2 linked regions of the Xenopus tropicalis genome follow. Each later gene encodes a partner of the first gene's protein in a complex. Links are inferred from orthologs where the notes say so. Each region holds a gene or a part of one and is shown on either strand. Other genes may lie near its edges. The genes, in order: cep152 and cep63.

What was found.
Region 2: the proteins of cep152 (region 1) and cep63 are in contact, whole or in part, in a crystal structure (PDB 6CSU), measured with the Homo sapiens proteins. The link is inferred for Xenopus tropicalis from reciprocal best matches to the Homo sapiens genes CEP152 and CEP63. Residues at the interface, in NP_001181927.1 of Homo sapiens: Gly1261, Ala1262, Glu1265, Leu1266, Gln1269, Tyr1270, Lys1272, Ala1273, Lys1276, Ile1277, Asp1280, Met1281, Tyr1284, Glu1287, Ser1288, Arg1291, Ala1292, Met1295, Ala1298, Arg1302; in NP_001340037.1 of Homo sapiens: Phe666, Glu669, Glu670, Arg673, Ile677, Arg680, Leu681, His684, Glu687, Leu688, Glu691, Ser692, Thr695, Phe699.

Annotation. Positions count from the first base shown.
Region 1 is NC_030679.2:103,988,699-103,993,173, forward strand, and holds the start of cep152 (centrosomal protein of 152 kDa), read right to left. Parts: upstream 3,035-4,475; 5' UTR 2,804-3,034; intron 1,622-2,803; 5' UTR 1,583-1,621; coding exon 1,496-1,582; intron 799-1,495; coding exon 692-798; intron 1-691. UniProt on the Homo sapiens protein: Necessary for centrosome duplication; the function also seems to involve CEP63, CDK5RAP2 and WDR62 through a stepwise assembled complex at the centrosome that recruits CDK2 required for centriole duplication.
Region 2 is NC_030681.2:130,333,420-130,336,233, reverse strand, and holds part of cep63 (centrosomal protein of 63 kDa), read right to left. Parts: intron 1,761-2,814; coding exon 1,569-1,760; intron 890-1,568; coding exon 771-889; intron 1-770. UniProt on the Homo sapiens protein: Required for normal spindle assembly.

The sequences.
Region 1 (4,475 bases):
CAAGAATGTGCCTGTACATAATACACTTGAACATAAAAGGAATTTGCTTAAAACCTGATTTTTTGAAAATTTCTCCAAAAACCCTGCTAGTTCCCTGCTAGCACCCACCTATTCCACTTCCCCCTGCCTCCTTTTCCTGGCTGTGCATGTGTCAGTAGCACTCAGCAAACTCACAGAAGAATAGGAACCAATCAGCAGTGAGTTGACCTGATAGGGAACTGAAGCCTGTCTTTGCTTGTGGGACTGTAGGGCTGTGATTGGTTATCCAACTCCTACTGCACTTCTGGCAGGGGCTGTTAGAACACACCCACCCTTTATTTAAATTTGGACAGGGACCAGGGGGAAGTATAAGAGGGCTTCAATAAAAGGGGTCATTTTTAGAGAAAATGATAATTTTAGCCCATATTATTATTATTATTTACTGCCTACAAGATTAGGGGGTATTACTTATGTTATAGGTCTCCTTTAAAAGTATGTCCTACATAAGGGCTGTCAAACTGTTGCCTGCCTGCAAGGGATTTCTATGGCTCCTTCACAAGACATCATTTGATATAATTTGATATAATTTCTTTCCTTCCATGTCGTACAAGAATAACTGACCCAATGCATATAAAAAAAATGGCAGCATTGACATCAATGTCCAATAAGGCAACTAAAGGGTCATCTAACTGTAAGGATTCCTGTCACTTACTGTTCTGAAACTTCATGGCCGCTGCAATCACTATAGCTTGGTTCTGGTGATGAGGAAAGGCTGTCATCAAGCATGTCATGGGGAAGATCTGTTAACAACTGTTGCAGCTTTAAATCAAAACAGACAATGGCATTATTGACTTTGCACAAATGGGGAGACAAAGAACCAGACTGGAATTTTGCTTTAGCTGCACACTACTATTTATATACTACTGCATAGCGTGGATTTTTAACACTGGTTTTTTTAATGATAATGAAGAAGAAGGGGTTAATTAATGACATGTATAATGTCTCAAACAAACAAAACTTTTTTCCCCACAATGAAAACAAATGGAACCCTAAGAAGCGGATTCCCAAAATGCCTTATATGCTTCTTTATAGATACCATACTAGAAGTTAATTTTATGGTGAACTACTTCTTTAAGTCATACAGCAATAAACCGATTCATGTATTTCTACTAAAATAAATGTAGTTTGATATAAAGTGTGGTGAAAAAATATTTGCACACAATCAACATATAATAGATCCCTTTAAACAAAGAATGTAAAATAGTTTAAACAAGTAAGATTCTACTGCTTACATCACAAGACAGACTTTAGTTTTACTATATACAGACAAGACCTTCAAAGTACACAAGGGAATATTCAAAACAGATGGTTATAGTAAATTAATCTCTGCTGTGGCTTTTACACAAAAGGTGAGAGCAGTGGAGACAAAGAATAATGAAAAGCTAGCAACAGGTGGCTTGTCCTTTACCACACTTTTGCACCAGACACTATAATTAATTCTGAACCACTTTCTCACCTCTTGCTCCCGGGCATAATCCTCTTTATCATACTCTTCATCCTCTTGCTGAATCTGCAGTGCTCCACTATCAAAATCGATAGACATTATCAAGCATGCACAAAACCCTTACAGGGTATAAAATATCTATAAAAAAAAAAAGTGAATACATTAATTAAATAGCAAGCCTTGCATATGGCAGTGGACACTAATGAAACCTGTGCCAACTGCCATGTTTCAGTCTAGGAATTTAAAATCTCAGTATATGATTTTCAGTTTTTCAAATAGGAGTGGAAGAACCTGACTAACTTAAGGTGGCCATACACAGGCAGATTTTAGCTGCCAACTTGGGTCCTTTAGACCGATTCAGCAGCTTATCTTCCTGTGTATAGGCACCCCCAACGGGCCTACCCGAATGAGATCTGGCCTAAAATTGTCCAGATCTCGATCTGGAAGGTTGGATTTTCTGTCAGAACGGGGACCACATTGGATCATTGATGCTGTCCTCAGTCCGGCGGCGTCTGAGCCTGCCGGTTTAATATAATCGTTTGACCAAACAATGATCTAGGGCCAAACGAGAATTAGCCAGATATCGCCCACTTTAGGTGGGCATATCGGAAGATCTGCTCATTTGGCTGCCTCGCCAAACAAGCGGATCTTACAGGGTATGGCCAGCTTAACATAGTGCCCTGAACAAACAAAACAGACAACTGTGGACAAATGAGAACACAAATTAAAAGCAGAGACTGACCGTGCAAGTTCTCTAATGCTTGTGACTTAATAGAAGCACATCCCAAGAACAATGTCGTAATACAATGAAGTCCTTCCAAGAAATGCAAAGCTTGTAATAGTAGAACAGGAAGGAACAACTTCATATTAATACCCTTGGCGTGGGGATGAGATGCAAGGCAGGCAGATGTATGCTTAATAACGAGCATAATTGTTTCTATACCTTTCTGTAATATGGGTTGTCCCTTGAAACAATGTAGCAGAAGTCAGTCCTATGTGCTACATAGTTTCAGAAGTCATAACCATTAGGGCAGAAAGTGATGAATGCTGCATTCAGCGATTGTATTTGCACACAATTTTGAAATCACTGAAAAGGTGTAATGAATGTATATTGGAAAATTGCTTAGAATTACAAATTCATTTTTATTTTCAGGTTCACATCGGCTATAAATGAGGAAGGCTACACCCAATTCGTCTGATGGAAAGCTGCTACCTGTCCCTGTGAATGTGAAAGGGAATCTTGGGTGCTGTGTACGCAGAAAGCCTATCTTACTATCCAGTTGTGCTAACTTCCATCTTGGTAAATACGTGAAAACTTACCAGAACAAGTCACCTACACCCCGGCAGCTAAAGCCACCAGCTTCTTCATCAGCTCCAGGAACAACAATTCCGTATCAGCAACTCTACAACTTCACAAAATCCCGGACATAAACAGACTTCCCTCTCAACAGTCAAAATGGGACACAGAAAACCCAATTCGCCCCTGAGCAATAGATTGATATTATCTTTATCCAATCACATACGCGAAATTCCTAGCTCTTTGTCGTTAGGCCTTTCTGGTTGGTGGTATGTTCAAGACCCGCCCCGGCATGAATGACTACCCCGTACAAATGAACCTGATAGGCTGCGCCGTGCTGCCAATTGACCAATCCCAGTAACAGCGAAAGCGAGCTAGTGGCGCGAGAGGTAGCGGGAATCCTGCGTGCGAGTTCCATTGGCTGAGAAGCAATATGAGGCGGGATTACCGCACTCCTAGTAACTGTTGGCATAAGGAGAGACTCGTTTAATTGGTCATAATGAATCATAATGGTTGGACCAAGGGGTACATACCGGGAGTTTTGTTTTTACGTAGCTGCCGTCTTTAAAAAAAAAAAAAAAAAAAAAAAAAAAAAAAAGCGATATGAACGTGTGCTAATGGGGCACGCCGCGGCTGGGTAGCCATGGCAACGGCGATTCCCCTAAAACCACAGTGTTTTATACGGTTAGACGGTAAAAAAAAAAAAAAAACACGGATTGTCCATACAGGTGTTCAGGAAACGTAGGACCAACAGATTCTTACGGGGCAGGGTGTGTGGGAATATGCGTGTATCTAGTTAGTAAACTGTGTTTATGGTTGGAACCATCATAGTCTGTAAGTCAGAAATTCTTCGTAAAAAACTGAAAACGTTTATTTAAAACATGTTATTAAGAAATATAGATACATACATATTCTATGGTACCCTACATTATGCATTCTCTCCAGTACCATTTCATAAAGGGGAACAACGTATAAATACATGCCTAGGAATAAGTCCCAGAGAGTATAAAATGTGTAAGTTGAAGTCTGTGTGTATATATATATATTTAATATTTTGAATAGCTCTTTTTAATTTTTTTATGAAGACTCGATTGTTCTAGTTTTAAGTTTGCTCTTTGGTCCTAAGGGCTTTATCCTGTTTTCTTTGGCCTTCTGACTAGCCATACGCACTCCCTGCTAACAGTAACTATATACAGTGGATATAAAAAGTCTACACACCCCGGGTAAAATGTCAGGTTCCTGTGCTGTACAAAAATGAGACAAAGATAAATCATTTGAGAACTTTTTCCACCTTTAATGTTACCTATACACTGTACCACTCAATTGAAAAACAAACTGAAATCTTTTAGGTGGAGGGAAGAAAACCAAAAAAACAAATAATGTGGTTGCATAAGTGTGCACACCCTCTTCTAACTGGGGATTGTAGCTGTGTTCAGAATTAAGCAATCACATTCAAAATCATGTTAAATAGGAATCATCATACACCTGCCATCATTTAAAGTGCCTTTGATTAACCCCAAATAAAGTTCAGCTGCTCTAGTTGGTCTTTATTGACATTTTTCCACCTTTAATGTGACCTATAAACTGTACCACTCAATTGAAAAACAAACTGAAATCTTTTAGGTGGAGGGAAGAAAAACAAAAAAACTAAAATAATGTGGGTGCATAAGTGTGCACACCCTTAAACTAATACTT
Region 2 (2,814 bases), on another chromosome or scaffold:
TTTGGCCTTAGGCTATGGACACATGAGCCTGAGTTTATACGTAGGCTAAGAAACAGTCCCATATGTCTGCAGCCTTATCCTTAGTTTAAACTTTCCATTATTAAAAAATAGCTTGAGAAAAGAATGTTTAATAGGCACCTATCATGGAAAAATTGTTGCATGATAAATTCTTGAGGATTTTGACAGATTAATTTAACACTGAGCTCAATATTACATATTCCACATCAGTGTTGAGATAGTAGACTCAGGTGTGTAAAATTCATTAAAAGCAGCCCTCTACTTGCTGAGTCTGACCACCATTGGTTTAATCACAGTAAGAAAAGGTACCACAATATCAGCACAGCTGCATGCCAGTTCACTGATATCCGGTGAATCTTCTTGCTGTACGCAAACTGCATACATACCATAACTACTGCAGTGCATACAAGACTGCCAAATGCAGCAGAATAATGTTGGCTTCTTGTGGATTCCAGACTTGCTGTGCTTTTAATGCCCGAACCCAACAGGTATATACAATAATAGTACAGAATAAACAATGGATGTGTTGCTACAAATACTGTTACAATTATAGCTTATTACTATAACATATAAAATCATCAACCAAATGATATTATACAGTCAGTGCTGCTCGAACAAACATAATGTAATAAACTGCATGACTCCTCTTTTCCTTGCTTTATCTTGGTACCCATTTTTTCTAACATAAAAAGCAAAATATGAGTGTTGCTGCTCCTTAGACAGAATAGCCACCTCCTTCCAACATGGCTTACCTATCCACTGCATTCTGGATTTCAGACTCTCTTCTCTGCATGATCAGCTCCAGTTTCTCCTGTGTCTGCAGCAGCTCCTTTTGCAGCCTCTGATTTGCCTGCTCCAAATTATTCAGTGTCTGTAATATTGAACAGGTGTATGAAAGAAAGAAAACAGAAAAGAAAAAATAAATGTAATATTAAAGAAAAAAACTACCTTTTTCTAAAAGAAAAACAATGAATGTATATAAAATATTTCATATGGGGAATATTATAAAGATTTAGGAAGGCTAAACCATATATATTAAAAATGAATTATATGTTCTCCGAAGCCTTCAATTGGTAGCCTATCCCAAGAAAAAACATTTTTCTATCCTCCTCATCTGAAAGTGTTCTATATCTAACAAAACTATGATATCTTAAGCTTCTTAAACAGGAGGGTTTTTTTTGCATTTATAAACGCATTCTGAAAGCATAAAAACCACATATTTTGCATTTATATGTGTTTTTTTAAAAGGAACATAAGTACATATTTTGTTAGTGTAAACACAACCCTCTATTCTATGGTCTTTTGAACATGCATTAATCGCAAGAATATGTGGAGTCTAAAAAAGAAAAAACATAGCCCTGACTGCTCATGAGCACAAGCAGGAAGAATATAAGGGAATCAATAAAAAAAAAAAACTTGCGTCTCAAACACATAAGAAAAAATGCAAAGCAGGAGAATGTTAATGGAAGCAAATTAAGGGAACTAGCATGAGAAAGTTAAGACAACATACATATGCACAATGTACAAAAACTGAGCAGCCTGGAGCTCACCCTGTTTTCTGCTGCCTCTCTCTCTGCTCTCTCCCGTTCAGCTCGAATTTTCCTTTCCCAGTCGATGCCTGCATTGGAAGCCATTCTGATATCTCTCGTGTGTAACTCCTGAGTGAGCTGTGAGATCTCCTTCCTCATCCCATCCAGCACACTCTTGTGGGTCAGCTCAGTCTGTGAGAGCTGGCCTTTCAGCTGCCGAGACACAAATGTTAATAACATATCTGCACGCCTCCAAAAGACCTTCAAAGGTCTTCTGCACCGCAGAATACAGAAAAATTAAATATATCAAGTTGCAAATGAAGCTCATCTATCCCTATGCAGCCCTGGAATTAAATATTAATCCTGCCCAGTCCCAGCAGTACTTTCCAGTCACCTTGGGTGTTGCCATGCTAACCATTTTTATAAAACAATTATGTATAGTCAGCGATATACCAGTTATTCCTAATAAGCACTAAAAAGGGTACTATTTATTGCATTATGCTTGCTTATCCAATTGCAATATATATTGCATTGTAAAAGGATTTTTATACTAGCTGCTGAATGCTTTTGTAAGTGGGACTTCCCAAATCAAAGGATTACCCTGTTATTGCACAAAAAGGGAGTTTGCACTAATTAACCTCATAGCTTAATAACAGCTAAGCATTATCTTTTTATTATGTTTGGTACATAATTACCATTTTTACAATCCTACTTGTTTTTACAAAAGCCGTGAAGGAGAAGATGGAGGAACGATGGTGACAGTCCTTCTCCTGCCTCTCTGATCAGTTTTCTGAAGGGACAGGACTGGCCTATTTTGAACTCCTGACACAATGAGAACTTCCTATATGCCTACATCATGTTTAGGCTTTGCCCTTACTTTTTTCCCATTGGACCAATTCATTGGTTGCTTGTGCATTCCAGTTCCATAAATTAAAAGGATATTGGTTAATTTCTCCCTTGCAAAGGCATAGGCCACATATCACAGATCTAACACACAGTTGTGTTAGAGTTGCAGCACTCTGTCACAGACACAGGAAGCAATGTCAGACTGACGGGAGACACAGTAAATAGAAGTTAAATCTGCTGCCAGTACTATGTGTGACATCATATAAAGAAGTAAAAAGGAGATTGTAGAGGATGATTCTGAGGAGAATCTCTCTTCAGCTGCACATTTTTTATTAACTATTTATATGACAAATATTCCATTAATGTGACCTGTTAAGATTTCTGAATGTTGTACAAAGGTGAACAAACCCTTTAACAAATT